Linked DNA regions of Neurospora crassa OR74A. The protein of the gene in region 2 interacts with the protein of the main gene of each other region in a pairwise test. Links are inferred from orthologs where the notes say so. Each region holds a gene or a part of one and is shown on either strand. Other genes may lie near its edges.

Region 1 (10,087 bases), on a different chromosome or scaffold from region 2:
AAGAAACAAATATCTCATCTGCGCGCATTTCGCATGTGCGTGGTCAAGGACTCACCAGATGCGACACTCTTCAACCACCCCGGCGCTTTGACCAAGCTAGCGCTCTGGATCGGTGAAGCACTCGCGGAACAGGAAAAAGAAGCCACTGGCGGGAGGCTCGCCCATGGCGGTCGTGGCACACCTCTCGTAGTGGCTAGTCTAGATGACAAGCGCGGAGTGTATGTTGTCGTCGGTACTGGTGGCGGCGGTGGGCCAGACACAAAGTTTCTCGATCGTGAATCGGCCAAGAAGCGAGCCGAAGAAAAAGAGGCCAAAGCTAAAGCCAAGGAGATGCAGAGAAGGATCAAGGAAAAGATCAAGGCCGAGAAGAAGGAGGCCAAGAGAAAGGAAAAAGAAGAGAAAAAGAAAGCCAAGTCCGACGCCGGCGGCGATGAGGACGAGGAGGAGGACAACGAGGAAGATAGTGACGACGACTCGGATCTCTCTGATACGGACTCGGACGACGATGATGAGTCGGACGAAGACGAGGACGAGCTCGATCAGGAACTTGAAAGGGGCTACGGCCTCAACAAATTCGGAACAGCGTTCCAAGACGTGGTGGCGGAGACTAATGCCAGAGTGCGCATCGACAGCTTTGAGCACTGCGTCGTGGAGGTCAAGAAGGAGGATCTTAGTGGCTTCTTGGAAAGTCTCAGCATGAAAGTCGTCATTGGGTGAAGGAAGGAAAAGTTTGGGTTTGCTAATTCTGGGGAAAAAAAAAAACCATGGGGGGGCGTCAAAGGGGGTTTGTTTACTTGACCAGGGGGAGTGGCAAGAGTTCATACCTGTGTCCAACAGAACGGTCGGAAGAGCCAGAACAACTCATTTGAGAGCTGGAATGGCATGGCATCGCATTGAGGCTCGGACGATTGAGCTGCACGCCGAGCTACGTACATGCAATGTAGGCACTTATAGTATTGAGGCTCGAATGATTGAGCTACCTTCAGCAATGTGCATGCATAAATGGAAAATGCTCGTCCAAGCAGATGGGGCTTAAGCAACAGCTGGAACGCCCTTTCATTTTTTTTTATTTTATATTTTTCTCTTATACCGCTGTAGTCATACGGTATATTCATTTACATAACATGCAGTGGGCGAAATACCAAATCTCAGCTACTCTCCAAAATCGGTTTGTTTCTTATGTGTTTTCTTTCTGCTTTTCATTTTGGACATACTTGTGGACAGATGTGCCGACCGCAAAATGAACCTCGTAACTCCAAGATAATGGTAAACTCGGCCCGGTTTCTCTTTCTTCCTCTGTGCTCTCTTCGCCTCTGCTAGGCTCATACTATGAGTCTCTCGCCTCACATACACAGCATTCCACCAAACAGGCAACGATGGCACTGCCCCCTTTGAGCCTTTGAGGCTTCAGGGACACTAAACTATGGTAGTCTGGTCGACCACTTGGCTACCTCCAGATAGTGATGGAGCGGTGATGTTTATATGTAGCAATCAATGCTGGTTTTGGTTCAAATGTTTTGTAAATGACTAAAGGGTTTCAGTATTGTTGGCATAGAGATTGACGTCGTTTATTGACAGCCGGTAGAGGTATGTAGGTAGGTACTAGTATACATAGTGAAGCTTGTGGTGTTGAAACAGAAAAAGTGGAGTTATATCGGAGTTTGTTACATAGTAGTAGTCCTTTCGTCATCGGTTATCTTTTCCCTCTTTTTCTCACGATCTTCCAGAAGGCCTTTTTGTTACACCAGAGTTTTCTCCCTTCTCCTTAGACCGGAATCGTCTGCCTACATACCCCATTGTACATACCACAAGAAGGAAGATCCCGTCTCTTCTGAGGAGAGAGGACAGATTCAAGTGGATTTGTTTGGATCGGTACGAGCCAGTCAATGTCTTGGCGGGCTTTGCACTGCCTCCTTTCCTTACTACGTCAGTCCCGGCACTATCTTCCAAGTAGGAAAGTCGCAAAGGTGCAAAGGAGCTGAAGAACAACCTGTTTTTCTCAGACCGCCGTGGAGGTCCGATCAGGTGGAGGGGTTTGGAAGAGAGAATGTCAATGACCTTTAATCATGTTCGACAATAGACTTCCTTACATCTTTGGTGTTATTAAAGTTGGTAGGTATTCAAGTGGTCGACCGTTTATGACGAAGTGGGGCGAACGACTTCTCATTTTGGGCTTTGGGCCTCCTCGAAGCGAAGGATGATTGGGTGTCGCAGACAGAGCCTCAAGAATGGTACCAAGGAGAATTGTTGGTACCAGGCCCGTCGGTTACATATGGTGCTTAAATATAATGGACAGAACATTAACGCGGTCGAATTTGCGCAATTCGGTGTCAAGAGGTTTGCTGTTTGACATCGAGCGCAAACTACTTGTATATCATTTACTTCCACTGTCACCCCAAAAAGTGAGATGAGCCGGCCGCCGGGCATGGGTAGTAAGTACTCCTCCGGGCTCCGGCTCGAAAGTTTAGTCCTGGAGGAAGTACATGTTGTTCGGATGGCGGCGCTAGAATCACTCTGAAGTATATCTTGCCAGAAAGTGTCTTTTCCGAAGTCGCCTCCCCAATCCTATCTCTTCATCGTACGGATCTGGGCTGCCGATTGATGTTGGTTTGGTTGAATGGTGGCCTCCGTTTACCTCCCAGCGCTCCCATCCTCCGGCGCGGGCTCTCGAGACCTGCCCTTCTTGTCACTTGGGCTCCCTGCCCGACAAATCAGAGAGCAGCAGTTTTTCCAGCCAACCTGGCATGATAGCTGGCGCATGCGCTGCCTACCTACACCCAAACGTCCAGAACCCGATCGAATTTGTTCCTTGGCCGTGCAGCCCCTGTCCCAGTTATTAGAAATCCCGCCCGTTGCCCCTCTTTGCAAATGGATGCGAATATCAACCGAGTTCCTTGGGAGAGGGGAGTGAGGGCCCCACGTAAAGTCTGAAACACACATGCTGGAGAACAAGCTGAATGTTCGGAAAAAAGTCCGCATCGATGGAAATGATGCTGCGTCGGCAGTAGTGTACCACAGCAGCATGAGCAGGTACAAGGCAGCTTTCTCAAGCAAAAGACGATGACTCGAGTCAGAAACAGCCTGGCCTCTCCATGCCAGGCCCGGCGTCAAATCGATGGATGGGAGGGAGTCGAACCTGGAAGTGAGGCGCCGCACGAAACGAGCGGGCGGATCAGGTTCCCGTCAGGTTCGAGCGGTCGGGTGTTCCTTACCTCCTGGCTAACATATGGTCCCCTGCTAGTCACCCTAGTTCCACATTTTAATAACGGCCAGGGCACTTACAGTGGTTAGCTGCAGTTAGTGCAGCAGCTCCAGGGCACTGCATCAAAGGTCGCCCATCTCGCCAGACTGCCGCCGTCATCACCTCCGATCTCCCGCGCATTTTGCCCTGCCTCTCGCCTTGCACCCTGACACTCCTGTGCTGCCAATACCTCTCTAGACCTGCTCATCCATCGATCCCATTTCTTTTTCTTTTTGCCATTACAACCCAACACCTCGACATCTTTTCCTATCTACTTCTCTTCACTCTTCGGTGCAACCCCAAGGCCACTCACTGATTGCCGCTTACCGAGTCTGCTACTTGAACTATCCTATCGGCCGACGACAATATAAATCCACCATACAAGGCTGCTTGCTCCCATCGCTCGAGCACCGTCTTGCCCTTCACACAGCGTCTCGTTACCTACGACCAAGTCAATTACAAACGTTAACGGTATCCCTGAGAGAAAACCCACGGATCGTCACCGAACCCCTCCTCCGACCTTTCGGCGCCAACCCCGTACGCGACGCCATTCCGAGTGACCCCTTTCCCTCGAACCGCCGCATCGTGGGACCACCTTGCGAACGACATCAGCATTTGCTAAATAGTACCGAGTTATCCGAAAATGGGCAAATCGTGAGTGACCAAGTCCCCCGAAATCTCCGCGACTCTTGCCCGATCAGCACCCACCACCCGACCGCTTTCTCCGCATCCCATCATCATCATCATCATCATCATCAATACGCACCGCACACCTGTTTCTCAGCAGTGGAGGAGGGACCGTGATCCGTTTTGCTGAAGTCTCCTCTACCGTCGACCTACCCCGTCCTTCACTCAATTCTACATATCATACAATGGGCCTCTTTAGCAGGAGTCGTTTCTCTGCGCAATCTCCCAAAACTGAAAGCAAGATGAAGAGGCTGACACTGAACCCCGCCCGACACAGGCAGAGCAAGCTCGAGCGTGATAAGCTGGAGGAGTTGGAAAAGGCCACCCACTTTGACAAGAAGGAGTTGCAGCAATGGTATAAGGGTGTGTTACCTATCCCCGTCCCCTTTCTCCTATCGCCGACGACCCCTTTGAACACCGCCGCCGTCGCCGCCAACGATTACATGCCCTGACCGATGCGGCGCTGTCTCCCCATCGAAAGCGCTTGCTATGCGCCCTCGTTGCCAACCAAATCTTTCGCTTCATAGACGGCCTCTAACAAGTTCATTCACAAACAGGCTTCCTCAAGGATTGCCCCTCCGGCATGCTCACCAAGGCCGAGTTCCAGAAGATCTACGCACAGTTCTTCCCCTTTGGCGACCCATCGTCATTCGCCGACTACGTATTTAACGTATTCGACACGGACAAGTCTGGCACCATCGACTTCAAGGAGTTTATCTGCGCCTTGAGCGTCACGAGCCGCGGCAAGATGGAGGACAAGCTCGACTGGGCCTTCCAATTGTACGACATTGACGGCGATGGCAAGATCACCTACGACGAGATGCTCAAGATCGTTGAGGCTATCTACAAGATGGTGGGTTTACCCTTTCTTTCTTATCTCTCTACGCCCTTTCCCGTGTCGTCGCAATCTTGTACGTTAACATTCTGATCCCTCAAAACAGGTCGGCTCAATGGTCAAGCTCCCCGAAGACGAAGATACTCCCGAGAAGCGCGTCAGCAAGATCTTCCGCATGATGGACAAGGACGAAAACGGCAGCCTCGACATGAAGGAATTCAAGGAGGGCAGCCAGCGCGACGAGACAATCGTATCCGCCCTCTCCTTGTACGATGGCCTCGTCTAACCAAGTTTCTTTTCATCAATTATCATTCGAGGTATTTCGTTTAGCCAAAGGGGGGGACGGCGCGCAACGGTCTGGCGAAGCAAATTTTACCAAGAGGAGGAGCATGATTTGATGTGTGTTGCAGCGCCAACAGGCAAAGTTTCATCTCCCCGAAACAAGGCAGAGCTGGAGTTATAAAGGGTGGAAAAGAAAGAGAGAAATCAGTTGTTCATTTGGAAGCAAGATATCCCAGGGAAAGCGTGATGGACAAGGGGAATGGTTGCGAGAAAGAAGGGAAGAGAGAGGGTTCAGCCATCTCGGCTCGGCCCAGCTCGATAAGTGTGCGCGCATACATCGATCAGACAAGATAAGAAGAAAGCACAGCTGGCCACATGCTGTTGGGGCGTCTCATCTATGGTTCCGTGGTCGGAAATGAGCCTCGCCGCTAGGTACCACCCATTCGGCCCAGTTCTTAGTCTAGATGTCGACCGGGATGTGATGGTCTTTGGGGCTGTGCTGTTCTTGGCTTAGGTCTTGAAAGAGGAGATTTCAGACCTGGTGATCACACGGATTGGATGGAAGGGAGAGGGGAAGGACATGAGAGCACATAAAGGGAAGTCGGAGTGAGAGGGGATAGAGACGGAATAAGGAGGAAGAAGAAGAGAAGGAAATCGTGATGAACGGCGTTACCTGGCTGGTATGGAACGAACGAATACACTACTACGGCTTGGTCAATTGCAACAATGGACGACCTTGACTCAGAAGTTACCTCTTACGCGTCGTGTGTGTGGATACTTTTAGGCTTGGTTTTTTTTTTTTCTTTTGAGGGTTTAGCAATTTTTTTTCAATGTTTCATCCGTTTCGAGCCCTTCATGATGTGATAACCGGGCTGTTGACTGTAATCTTTCTCTAATTCCCGCGTACTCTCCCCTACCGCCAGGTTTGTCATGAACGGAGGTTATCTTTTATTACTATTAGTTGTAAGTCAACACCGCCAACACTCCAACAAGTGACATCATCGTCATCTTGCTCGCCAAGATCAACCCGTTCTGGGATATAATATCAATGACAGTAAATTTTTTTAAATTTTTTTTTTTTCGTATTTTGTTATTTTCTTTTTCTATATTCAAGCCCCCCCCGTTTTCGTTCAAATGCGTGATGCAATGATTTCTCTGCTTACCCCATTCATGGTCGTCTATGTCTTCATTTGACCTACCTATCTCTTAGTCTTTCCTGATGCAGTTCTTCATCTCTCTCAACATCTCACTCCGTCACCTTCAAACCTTATACGGGTGTCACTTGGAAATATTCGAGACTATATTCTATATAGTCTGTGTAAGGGGATGGATGTGTCAGCGGTAATATAATTCTGCCTCAAGCAAAAGAGACGTTACTGGGAATTGGTCCGTCGTGTCCTTTTGCCACGTAGGTGAACATAACAGTGTGTACGATCAACAATAAGCAGCGTGAGAAGCAAATGCTACTAAAATGGGGTATCATCGATAGATACTCGCCCGTCCGTTTCGTATTAAACGAGCCCCAATTAAAACCCCTTCCCCAACTTGAACCCGACAAAGGAGTGGAAGCGAAGAGAATAAGAAGAGAGCTGATCCTCCTGTTGACGGAAGACCAGAGAGGAAATTCATCAAGCAAAACAGCGCAAACCAGGACCCTAGAAGAATTAGAAAAAGGGTAGTGTAGCACAAGTACATGGCAAAACTATCTCAACGCAATTGTTCGTCGCTTATTTAACAGGAAGTAGAAACCCATTACGGCATAACAGACATATAGCTAAGGGGCCTGAGGAACCCTTTCCGGTGGCCGTCGCCGACAACAGTAACGTAACGTAACATAAATAACTAGGAGTGGTATAGTGGAAACATAATTCGCGCCCCGAGACACGCATAGACATAGAGATGAACAGCAAAAACAAGGGTGTACTTTTTCATATACAACAAGAGAGATCAGGTAGGTGGCAACAAAACTCCTACTGCTTGGGGCCATAAGCCTCATCAACCTCCTTCTTGTACTTGTTGAGGATGCCCTTGCGGTTGAGCTTCTGGGCGGCCGTTACAAGACCCTGTGATTGATTTGGTTAGCGATGGGTTAGGTAAACAAATAGATGTAGACAGTGGAAAACTCACGTTCTGGGGGGTCCACTCCTCATCCGACATAACGACACCCTCGATAATCTCAATGCCAGAAAGGCCGCCGGCACGACCGGCGTTCTGGAGCTCCTTGAGAACGGCAGCCTGGAGCTTCTTGTTGTGTACGAGCTCCTCCAAGCTGTCACCCTTCACACCACTCGAGGAGGCGAGCTTCTTAAGGGCGGGTTCCGCGGGAACGATGATGGCGATGGGCTTGGAACGATCCTGGTCGGCATAGACGCAAATATTGGCGACGACGGCGGCGGAGCGGTAGATGGACTCAAGCTTCTCAAGAGCAATGTACTCGCCGTTGAGAGTCTTGACGAGGTTCTTCTTGCGGTCAATGATCTTGAGATGGCCGTTCTGGTCCCACTCGCCAATGTCGCCGGTCTTGAACCAGCCGTCCGCGGTCACAGCGGCAGCGGTCTCCTCGGGGTTCTCATAGTATTCGGAGAGCACAGAGGGGCCACGGAGCCAGATTTCACCCTGGGGGTTGGGCTTGTTAGTGGCGAAGTAACCGGCGTCGGCGAAATCGACGAGCTTGGCCTCGATCGAGGCGGGCATGGCGCCAATTGACTCAGCAGTCCACTCGTTGGGGTTCTGGAGGGTACCCATAGCGGTCGTCTCGGTAAGACCATAGCCGATAATCATGGGGCAGATGGCCATGGAGATGAACTTTTGGGTATCCTTGGCGACAGGGCCACCACCGTTCAAGCAAAGCTTCATGCGACCGCCAGTGGCATCCTTGATCTTCTTGAACACAATGGCGTCCAAAAGACCGCTTCCAGGAAGACCAAGGCCCATAAGCTTCTCCTTGAGAGCAAGTGCGCCCCAGAAAAGGTTGCGGAGGAGAGGGCTGCCAGCGTTGACCTTGGCGAGAATGCCCTTTTTGACGGTTTCCCAGACGGCGGGCACACCAACCAAAACGCTGGGTTGAAACTCGCGGATATCGCCGAGGCAGTTGCGGACGGAGGTGTCGGAGAGGGTCTTGGGGTTACCATAACCCATGGTTGAACCCCAGTAGAGGGAGGCGTTCTCGAAAACAAATTCGAGAATGTGAGCGAGGGGAAGGTAGGTCAGGAGGCGGTCACCGGGGCCAACGAAGGGCTGGACTACGGGGCAGACACCAGCGACTGTGACAAGGACGTTAGTAGCAGTTCAGGAACAAGACAATAAGAGTTTGCGGCCACTTACCGGCAGCGACGACGTTGCTGTGCTTCAGGGGGACACCCTTGGGGGTACCGGTAGAACCGGAGGTGTACATGATGCAGCAGAGATCCTCAGGGGCGGGCGCGACGGGCGCGACGGGGTTCTGCTTGCCGAGCTGGACAAGCTCGTCGAAGCTCAAGACAGTAACACCGCGCTCGTTCCTGAGGGCCTCAATGTGGGCCTCCTTGACCTTGTTCTGGTTGTTCCAGATGACGTGTGTGATGCCCTTGGCATGCTCAAGAACGCCGTTGAGGGTAGGGAGAAGATGGGGGTCGAGGAAGATGGCCTTGGCATTGGTAGCGACCATGGAGTACTTGAGACCTTCGGCGCCGAGTGTGTCGTAGGCAGTTACAATGGGCATGGACTGGGTCGCGGAACCATGAGACATGGCGAGCCAGTTCTGGCTTGTCGCGGCAAAGATGTGGACACGGTCGCCCTTGTTGAGACCGATGGCGCGCAGACCAGCGCCAACGTCGAGCGTAAGCTGCTCGTAGTCCTTGAAGGTAATGAACTCGTAGTGGCCGAGCTCGAAGTAGGTCCAGTTCTTGTCCACCTCGCGCTCCTCACCATCCACCATCTTCTTGACCTTCTTAGTCTCAACATGGGTGTTTACGAGCTTGCGGGAGCCCATGCACTGGGACTCGCCATGTGCGAGGGCAGCCCACTTGACGAGTTTGTAGACGGTATCGATTTCCTCGCCGATGGCCTCATTCTCGCCCCATCGCCTGTTTGGGGGTATGGCATGCAGACCGTCGATGGCGAGGGGAATGCGACGAACAGGAGTCTCGCCCTCGACGGGCGTCTGGCCCGGGACATCGAGAGTATAGGGGGGCTTAGCGACCAGCTTGGGAACTGGCGTCAACGTTGGGATGACCATGATGGGCGATGATATTAAAAGTTAGGTAGGTAGAGCTCGAGAGCGTGGTTTTCTCTGTTGGTTGGGAGGAGGGCGCTGTCGGAGAGGAAGCCGGTCTTTATCGAGAAATGGGGGAGGAGATGCACGGATTGCCGAGACCGCGGTCGCGCTAAACAGAATCCCGCCCTAGTGTCGGTTGCGGGTCTTGGGGGTGTGTGTGTGTGTGTGTGTGTGGATGTGGAAGGTCGTGTCGTCAGTCGTCTGGTAACCAACAATGCAACGTAGAGGGCGTTGGTGGTTTGGATATGGAGAGAGAATAATATGGAGGTGAGAAACGGAGGAAGAGGACGGGAGAGAGGACAAGAAGAGAGGTGGATGGAGGTGGAAGTAACGGATGGAAGGGAAAAGGAGTTTCTTGTCTGTCTCTCCAGGTCCTCGGACGGGACGATGGCCACAGCGGCACTTCCACTTGAGACTCGGACGGGATGCGCTGAGTTGGGGTTGGGATGTTATTTTCATTTTGGGGACTGCCCACTTGGACTGGCAAGGGGCCCATTGGTCCACAGCCTGCACCAAGAACCCCACTTCAAAGCCATCTGGCCAGGGCAGATGACGCTAGGCAGGCTAGCGCAGTCGAGCACACAGATGCGCGGCTCGAGCTTCCTCTAGGTGCCGCGGTCTTAACGTGCTCTTCTTGCAACTCTTGGCCCTTGCCGTCCATCTGCCCTTGCCCGCTAGACTTCCCATGACGAAACAGACACCAGCTTTGCCTTGAGATGCGCTATTCGAGTAAGGATAGCGCGTCTCTGAACTTCTCCACTGTTGGGAAAGTGCTGTGGCCGGCACA
Region 2 (9,545 bases):
GACGGGTCGAGAGCGGGGCCGGTTACCCTTTCCTTCTGGTAGCATGGGTCACTCGGTTGACGCACTCTATGAGAATACTCGTGCTGGTATGCGAATGGGCAGTCCATTGTTGGGTGTCATAAAACCACGGAGGTGCGCTTGGACTTCACAGTAACTAGCAGGATAGTGAGGGGATCCGGAGTTTTGTCGGCTTTTTGATCTATACCAAGGGTCGGTCTCGAATTAGACCACATGACTTTGAGTCAACGGGTTTAGGATTGCATACGGCTTTGAGCGGAATGGTATCTATCTTATTGTATCCCAATAAACCACTCTTTTACTTGCTCATGAAGCATGACATCAGTAGTTAAGCTAGAAATAATTAGTGTTCGGTTCATCATGTCGTGGTCCCGTGCTTTCGCCTGTCCCTTTTTTTTTTTTTTTAGAGATTCACGTTTCCCCTGGGCGTCACTTAGACACCATCCATAGTCTGCTCTTGACCTTCCTCCACCTCCACGCGAACTCACCCCATCATCACTGTAGCTATAACCATTTCCTGCGAAGTGGTGGTCTGCTGAGAGCTACTTCAAGATATGGCATGATTACATGTAAGCGACAATCTCGTGATCCCTGTAGACAAGCGAGGCTTTCAGGCTTCTTCATACTAGGAATGGGGGAGTTGTGAGGATATGAACTGATAGTTTCAGGCTTGGAAAGAGGCAATCACCGTTTTACGTAGGCATATCAGAACACGACAGTACACGCAATAATACATTAGTGATGGTCATTGGTGGTGGTCAAGGCCAAATTCAAACCATGCTACAGAGGGGAGCCTTTCGGACATCTGTTAACCTTCCCAAAACTATATCTTACAAGTTACCCTCCTTCTCCAATTCCTTCGGTCCCAGATCCTCTTCTTAATTTCCTACACCATCAGGTTCCAGAGTCTCTCGGAGCCATCCCACTTCCCTCCTGTTCCTTGGCGTTCACACATAAACCAGCAATCGGAGTTCCCCTCTCCCTGAGAGAATACACCCAAAGCCCAATGAAGTCGTCAAGCACAAGAGGTATCAAACAAGAACGGGCAGAGAGAACCCAATTCCCTTCAAGCCACCCTCGTCAGCTCGATCAAGCACCTCCGTCCCGCTTGGCATACTCCTCCTCCATCCTCTCCTCATAAAGCCGATCAGCTTCCAACTCAGCCTCGGTCTTGGGCCTGCTGCTGCCTGCTCCGGTGTTCACTCCAGCGCCGGTGGGCCTTTGGTGGGAGGAAGACTCATGCTCATGCTCCTTCTTGTCCTGAGCGGGCATGGAGGCGTTGGGGATGTTGGAGGTGGTGGTGTCGGAAGAAGACATCTTGGTGATGTGTTTTGGGGTTTGGAAGGGGTTGTTGTTAACTCAATCGACTCGAGTGTCAGAGGTGGAGATACTGCTTGAGCTTAATACAGTGATGATTTGGCCGGGTGGGGTGATTTAAAGTGGCTCCTGATTTGGTTGGAACTAATAAATAGACTCGAAGGAAATAGGCGCTTGTTGTGTGATGATGAAGATAGGAAGCGAATCAAATATACCCGTTGGGGAGAGTGTCAGGTCAAGAAAGACAACGGAAGGGCTGCCTCATGTGGCAAAGGTGGCGAGCATTGTGGCTACGCAACACCTGTATTGTACACGTCTTTTGGGGGTAATTGGGGTAACATCTCGCCGTATATACGACGGAACTTGTTCCTGCTTCTTCATGATTTGATGTCCGCTACAACTCGGCCGAACTCCATAGTCTCTAAGTCTCGACCCTTGGCATTTCCACTGGGTGCTTAGATAAGGTAGCAACGGGCTTTTTATGTTGATAGAACGTTACTTCAAGTGGAAGATGTTGATAGTGGGGTTCACCTGGAGATCCCGGTAAGTGATGAGTATACGACTAACACTTGCCCGCTTCGAGACATCTCGGAAGACGTTGGTCAGCATGTCTACAAGTGTATGAACAAAAAGGCGCAGAACAATTCATTCAGAACTATCATAAGGTAACATGCATACATGATCCATATGGTCAGCAAGATCCAAGCCCCTTTTATGTGTATAATGTCAACACCGATCGCCGACGCCCTAGTCACCCTGCTGAGCCTTATGCCCAAACAACCACACACGATAATTCACCAACCCGACATTCAAAGTTTTGCGAGATCTCCCTCTGAGGCCGGCACGCATTTTAACTCTATCCTCCTCCTCATCTTTTCTCTAATCTCCTCCTCCGTATAGGGGCTCAGCGTCATAGGATCCAGCTCCTTCTCCTCCAGCGTCCCCGACTTGATCGTGGTAAACGTGCTCCTCATCGCGCTCCGCTTATCATCAGCACCATCAAGCCCTCCCTCAGAGGCAGTCGAATTCGTGACCCTTGCGATAAACCTCGACCACCCCTCCATACACCTATCCGCCTCTTTCAAGTTCTTCAACACCATGGCAAAGCAATGCGGCATGCCCTCGTACTCCTCAAACGTCACAGAAACCCCTTCGGCATGAAACCTTGCTGCCGTGAACTTGTCCTCGTCCGACAGCATCTCCCAACCCGTGCAAATGTATGTCGGCGGCGCACCACGCCAGCTGGGTGCCAGCAAAAGCGACACAAGCGGGTGCATGATGTAATCGTCGGCGACGTACATGCTCATGCGCGGCGGATTCGTGGGCCAGGCCGAGCACGGGGCGCGCAACTTCTCGGCCTTGTCCTGCGCCTCGAGGCCAGGGAGGTAGTCGAAGGCACCGTTGGTGACACACGACGGCGAGCTGTGGGTGATTTCTATCCAGGGCGAGTTGACGGCGACGCCGGCGGGTAGGGGGATGGAGCGCTCATGGCCGAGCCAGAACACGGTGGTGCCGGAGCGTTGCAGTTGCATGATGAGCTGGAGAAGCGCGAGCGAGAGATTGCCGCCTGCGCTGTCGCCGGCGATGACGATGTGCTCTGGCTTCACGGGCTCGTGGAATGCCTCGGGCGGTGGGTAGAGCAGGCCGAGGTACGAGACTAGTGCGTCCATGACCGCGGCCGGGAACGGGTTCTGCGGCGCAAGCCGGTAACGCACCGAGTAACACCTGCCGCCGGTCCGCTTGGCTAGTTCTCTGCATGTAGGCCTGTGTGTGGCCGGGTCCATGAGCCAGTAGGCGCCGCCGTGAAAGTAGAGTATCGTGGTTGGGGCTTTTACGTCTTTCATCATCTCGTCATACTTCTCCCGTTCTGGGATATCGGGCAGCTTCGCATCTTTGGGCACACCCGGCCTGTGTGCTGTCCACTCCGCCTCCACAGGAAGAACTTCTGGTACTTGGATCCTGGCCGTCTTCGGTTGGTCACGGTCTTGAAGCCCGTCGATGGCCTTGCTCAAGGTGTCATGGATGGCGCGCGCATCCTCCTCCGTGGGGATGGGCAGAGTGTACTTGCTGACCCATATCGTGCCCCGGATCGGGGGTACTCTTGAGAGCATCTTTTGGGTAAAAGTGATGCTCCTAGGCTTGGGCACGTCCATGAACGAGCGGAGCATGGCAATAGTGAGTTCCGTCCGCAAATCCTGGTATTTTGACGCCGGTGAGGCCTGCAACATGTGAAGCAGAGCCACCCGGGCCATCAGCGGGAGCTTGGATACCAGCTGGAGAAAGAGAGCGGTCTTGTCCATGGCGGCGGGCTTCTTGGTGGGTTTAGAGGTGACGGATGGGTTTGGGTGTTGGGGTCATGGTATCAGATCAACAGGGGCGAGTTCTCTTCTTATATTAGACCCCGAGATCCATAATAACAATGGGGCATTTCGGGTATCTAGGGATTCCGTTTGTGTTGTAACAGCCTGTAGGCGCTCCTTGTCTAATCATCTTCTTGAGCGCGTCCGCGTGGAGATTGGGGAAGGCTTGCGAGCGCAGATATCTCAGCGAATCTGCGGGGTGGTAATATCATTTATCATTATATCCGGCAGGTGGTTAAGAAAAAGAGCGAGTTGTGAGAGCTAAGCGAAGAACAGCAATGCAGAAACAATACGTATCCAGAGCGACGGACTTGACTTGCATCCCCTTTGTGGCCAATATCCCCTTCGGGTTTGGGCGAGACGAAGGCGCTATGAGAACATTGGCACAGGAAGAAAGGGATGATGGGTGGGGTCAATGTTTGGTTCCAAGCAAGCATTGCCCGATCAAGTAATAGCTACGAGGACTATTAGATGCGATTGGAAACTGAACCATGGCACGAAGGTGTATGTACCTTGAACCCGGGATGTCTTAACAGAGAATATTCCGCATCCGACCTCTCGGGTACGCATATGCTACGCTGAGGTAATGATTTGGCAGCGACATCAATACCTACACTACAATGTATCCTTTAGTTCTCTACAGAGGCCGCGGTGTTCTGACTGTACCGATGTGGCTGAAAGTCCTGAATAGAGGGCGACATAACCAAAGCCAGTTGTCCCTCTTTGACCGTTTGCGCATCTCTATTCGATCATGGCTTTTTTTTTTTTTTGCCCCTCCCCTCCAGTTTTTTTGGGTGGCTGAGGACAATAACCAAAAATTTGTCTCGGCAATGCCATAGCAGCGGTCAAAATAGTGAGGCAGAAATACTGGGCGGTCAGGTGTACGGGATGTCTCAGATCAATTCACGGCCTAACCTTATAAGATGTGAAAATGGTAGCTTTTGATATCATGCTCTAGGAAAATGCCATGCAACGTCCGCGCTTAAAGACCTTGCAGAAATACAAACGCGCTATCATGGAAAGGGGACTGAATGAGGTTGTCCCATGCTTCACAAGTGCTCCTGTGTATTGTCCTGCTTGAACAACGTACAGGAGCTTTATTACTATACAGAAAACCAGAGGGAGTCGCTCACTTTGGCCTTATGCTCATGCCGATTAATGTATCCAGGTTTCCCAGTTCCGGTGCTATTTTATCTTTGTGCCTGACTGGAGAACAGCTTTTTAAGCGGCTTCGTCGCCTCCGTTGCTGCTTGAGCCATCGTTTGTAGTACCGTTCGTGACTCCGACAGTCGAAGCCGACGCGGTTTTGTTGGCCATGGCCAACTGCCAAGCAGGGATAGTCGGCTTGCCTGCAGAGGCAATTCCGCTGCTGAAAGGCGAAGGCTTGGGGGCAGCAGGTTGAGCGAACTGCTGTTCCTGCTGGTATCTGGATTGCTCATCCTGCGCACTCGCGGCTCTGCTGTTTAAGTCTCCGTTCTCACCGCCGAGGGCTGGCGTGGCAGGGGCTGAAGAAGGAGTGGCGTTTCCGTTAGTATTGGGGCGAAGGTAGTTGTTGACGCTCGTCGAGGTGGCGGTTGGGTTCATGCGTTGCGAGATGAGGGTCTTGAGGCTCTTGAGTTCGGTATTGAGTTCGCGCAGCCTGTTGTCGGTCAAGTCCTTCTGGTTGTTGAGTGCCCTTGGAATCGAGTCCCTGAGATTTTGCACATCGTCCCGTACTCTCTGTGCTTCGTCGTCTCTGCGTCTGTTGGCTGCCTTGAGGTCCCTGACGACAGTCTCCAGCTCCTCGAGGGCATTGTCGAGTCTCTCTGTCCTTTCCTGCTCCGAGGCCTTGAGGATTTCGGTATCCTTGGCCAGCTGCTCAACCAGTTGGAATGTTTTGTCGAATTGTTCGTCGATGGACTTCTTGTCCTGCTCGAGACGCTCCGGCGTGGGAGGAGCAATCAAAGGATACACATAGCGCTGCCGAACGGTTAGAATTTCCTTTTATGTACATTGCACGGTGTTCGGCGGCCTACCTTGCCGAGATTGTATAGGCCGTACGACGCGCCTCCGACTACGGTCGCCAAAATGAACAGGTCCCTCCAGTCCCGCCTGACACCGTCGGTATTCGATTGCGGCCATGCGTATGGGGGATAGCCATAGTACTGCGGAGAGCCACCCTGTGCTGCGACGGGTCCGGCCGACTGCGCATAGGCGGGCGACTGGGCGTACGGTGGCGGTGGACCTCCTGATTCGGCGCGGGCGAGAGCAGCGCTGACTTCTTCCTGGGTGAGGTTCTTTGCTTGGAGAAAGGCTATCCGCTTCTCGATTGGCGAGGCGGCGACACTGGGGTCTTGAAGAACTGTGGTGTTGTTGTCGGGTGAGATTCTGGCCTGGCAATGTAGAGGAGGTAGCAGGGGACAAGACAGGGGCAGAACATACACTGCGCCGCCGAAGCGACCAGGTCCTCGCGGATGGCCATGACTGATGTTGTTTGATCGAAATGCGGCAGATGGCGTTCCCTTGTTGAGACTGGGCAGACGAGAGGAAAGAAGCAGACAGCTGAAACAGTCGCGACGCGATGGCAGACGGCGGCGGTTGATGGAATGATTATCGAAGGACGGGAGGCTGAATGCGATAGATGAAGTGGAAACGAACTGACTGGCAGCGGTTCGGGGGATGGCTGGGCCGCTGGATGGAGTCCTGAAGCCGAGGTTCACGGGACCGGGGGCCTGATTGTACACTAGACGTGGACTGCTAATAGCACCTTAACAGCTTCGCATCACTTGCACCCCCAGCACACTCGTGGAGGCATGCTGATCAGATAAATCACTATCTCCTCCCCTGACTCTCCTTTTCCTCCGACAGGCCTAGAGCGCAGCTGAGCATCCATTCCATGCAGTGACTGGCTCAGAGACGGGAGTGCAGAGCTGAAAAAGCACTGACCTGAAGCGAGCCAACACTCACCCTCAAGGTCGCTTTTGGACCCACTCCCGTCATTCACCTGCCGTCCCGATGCTTGGGGACGAGAACTGGAGTGCACTTGGCACTGTTCAGCCCAATGATTTCCACAGCCCCACCCACGTCGCCTTTCTTTTGTTTACTCTTCCTGACGGAGCAACCTCCCCCACCATCCGCAGAAGTCGACAACCTAGTCCCGTCTACACTACGGTGTCTTAATCTACCTACATACCTATGCTGGCCTGCATTAGGTTGCTGGCCGTACACGTACTTTTATCGCTACGACACGACGAAATCCGCGACTGCGGTTATGCATTGATTTCTGTCAGAGCCGCGAACACGTACCCACATTAACTCGAGCGCATACCTTAGCTCTACAAAGCTATCCGACATAATCACCACCAAGAGAATCATCGCCGACATCGATCCGACACAGTTGCACGTAGTGTAACACTCTTTTGTTCGCTTGCTTATATATTATCACGGAAACCACGCGACTAGGACGGCAAAAGGGAGGCGCACATTGACGAGGCCTTTGCCGTCATGTCGCAAGACAGCAACGCAGGCCTTTGGAGTGTTCGACGGCCAAGGGAGGTGCGACTTCCCCCCGTGACTTTCTTTGCGGCGTGTTTCCTCGGTCGAAACCTCTCCCCATCCGACGCGACCATGCACGATATTGACTCTGCTCTCTCTGTAGACTCTCCATGGCGTCAACCTCACGTCGGGCATTCCGGCACCACCCTCCACACTTAAGCGACAAAGCACCATCGGCACAATAGGAACGGGCCATGGTCGCTCTCTGTCGGGGAGGCAATCTCTGGCCCTCCCGCGACCGAGCCAACCTCTGTTCCAGCGATCCTCCGACATTGGCCTGGGCTCGGTAAAGCGCGCGTCGGTTCATAACATGAACACGTCGCAGTTCAAGCCCTATGGCACCCCAGGCAGTTCCGGTATTCCTCGATCATCGCAAGAACTCGACCGGCGAAGCAGCGTCTACCGCCCAAGCGCACGACCGTCGGCCGTCGGCGGAGGTCCCTTAGCTGGTGGGCATATGAGCTTCTTCCAGCAAGCGCCCCAGCCCGCCGGCGTGCCTCGCGATCCGCGCCCCCTCAAAGACCGTCAATTCCAAAATCGCATTGGCCAGGAGTTGCTCGAGTACCTCGCCAAGAACAATTTCGAGATGGAGATGAACCACAAGCTGTCCGACAACTTCACAAAGTCGCCGACACAGAAGGACTTCAACTACTTGTTTCAATGGCTTTACCACAGGATAGACCCGAGTTACCGGTTTCAGAAGAATATCGACCAGGAGGTACCACCATTACTCAAACAACTGCGATACCCATACGAGAAGAGCATCACCAAGAGCCAAATCGCCGCGGTCGGAGGTCAGAATTGGAGCACCTTCTTGGGATTACTGCACTGGATGATGCAGTTGGCACAGATGCTCGAAGGATACGCCCGACACCAGTACGACGACGCCTGTATGGAAGCCGGGGTCGACATTGCGGGCGACCAGATCATCTTTGATTTCCTCACCAGCGCATACCAGGATTGGCTCAATATGGATGACGAAGCAGGGGATGAAGACGTGGAGAGGGCACTACAGCCGCATGTGCAGGGAATGGCGGAGGCTTTTGAACGGTCAAACGCAAAGTACATCCAAGAACTGGAGATTCTCGAAGGGGAAAACGCCCGCCTGCTAAAGGAGATTCAGGAGCTCGAAAAGTCGACACCCGACCCGGCCATCTTGGACAACCACTTTAAGATTATGGAGGAGGACAAGATCAAGTTTGAAGAGTACAACACTCTAGCCATGCAGCGGACAGAAAAGTACGAAAACCGTATCCAGGTTCTCCGGGAGGAGCTGGGCAAGTTGCACGTGGAGCTGAAGGAGGCCGAGGAGGAGCGGCGACAAATGCAAAAGGCGGTGGACGACCAGGGGATCAGCATGCAGGATATTGACCGCATGACCTCAGAGCGGGAACGTCTTCAAAGGAGCATCGAGTCCGCTTCCCAGAGGCTCGAAGACGTCAAAAAAAAGGTCGCCGAGCGCGAGATGGAGGCGAGCCAGCGTCTGGACGAGCTCGAGCGGCTGGTTGAAAAGTACAACACGGTCGCCTACCAGATCGGACTGATCCCAGCCACGGCAGTCAATGCCAAGGGGAAGAATCTTGAACTGCAGGTAACTGTAAACGAGGGAACGCCCAACTTTGCTTCATCGATGCAAGGTGTATTGGGGCCAAACGGGCAGCCACTGGGCGGCGTGGAGAATGAGAGGTTGCTGGCCGACTCCACGACGGGATACCAGCCTGCGCATATCCTGAACCTGGATCTCCGAGGCCAAGTTAAGAACACCTTCCTGGCACTCAGGAAGGAGGTCTCGGAGAGGAGAAAGGTAGCTATGGATGTCATGATGGAAGACCATGACTTGCTCGATCGCGCTAAGGAGGCGATCGAAGATAAGCGTAATGAGGTCGAGGCTCTCGGGCATCGGGTGCGGGCGGCAGAGGAGGAGTATGAGAAGACTAAAGAGGTGATTAATGGCCGCGTGTCCTACGTGCTCGGTATCACTCATGCTAACAATGAGGTCTAGGTCACCAACGCCCAGAAAATGGCTTCAGATGCACAGATTGAGAAGATGGAGAAAGAGCTCGCCAAGATGCGAGCACAATTGTCCGAGTCTGTGCAGCTTATGGAGCAGAGGGAAATGAATACCAACATCGAGTAGGTTTGCCATGACTCTTTCAGGAATAGAACCAGCTGTGCTGACAAGTGGACAATAATAGGTATGAGCAACTCACGCTCCGAGCCAACGCACTTCGCGAAGAGCTCCACACGGAGACCATGCGCATGCTCAACGATGTCATCAAGTTCAAGATGCACGTCCAGCGAAGCCTGGAGGAGTAC

The links. The genes of interacting proteins can lie anywhere in the genome.
Region 1: the proteins of pex14 (region 2) and cse-1 interact in binary tests that used the Saccharomyces cerevisiae proteins (3 or more experiments, as listed by UniProt). The link is inferred for Neurospora crassa OR74A from reciprocal best matches to the Saccharomyces cerevisiae genes PEX14 and FRQ1.

The regions. Positions count from the first base shown.
Region 1 is NC_026504.1:3,558,428-3,568,514, reverse strand, and holds cse-1 (neuronal calcium sensor 1), read left to right. Parts: upstream 1-3,394; 5' UTR 3,395-3,884; coding exon 3,885-3,895; intron 3,896-4,205; coding exon 4,206-4,291; intron 4,292-4,485; coding exon 4,486-4,781; intron 4,782-4,869; coding exon 4,870-5,049; 3' UTR 5,050-5,987; downstream 5,988-10,087. Other genes in the region: NCU04378 (DNA replication initiation factor Cdc45), read left to right, coding at 1-717; NCU04380 (acyl-CoA synthetase), read right to left, coding at 7,016-7,108, 7,173-8,308, 8,370-9,261.
Region 2 is NC_026506.1:2,096,495-2,106,039, reverse strand, and holds pex14 (peroxisomal membrane anchor protein), read right to left. Parts: upstream 6,571-9,545; 5' UTR 6,157-6,570; coding exon 6,117-6,156; intron 6,037-6,116; coding exon 5,711-6,036; intron 5,655-5,710; coding exon 4,917-5,654; 3' UTR 4,555-4,916; downstream 1-4,554. Other genes in the region: NCU03904 (hypothetical protein), read right to left, coding at 1,108-1,335; NCU03903 (lipase/esterase), read right to left, coding at 2,145-3,635; NCU03899 (HEC/Ndc80p family protein), read left to right, coding at 7,179-7,229, 7,333-9,171, 9,232-9,362, 9,425-9,545. UniProt on the Saccharomyces cerevisiae protein: Component of the PEX13-PEX14 docking complex, a translocon channel that specifically mediates the import of peroxisomal cargo proteins bound to PEX5 or PEX21 receptors.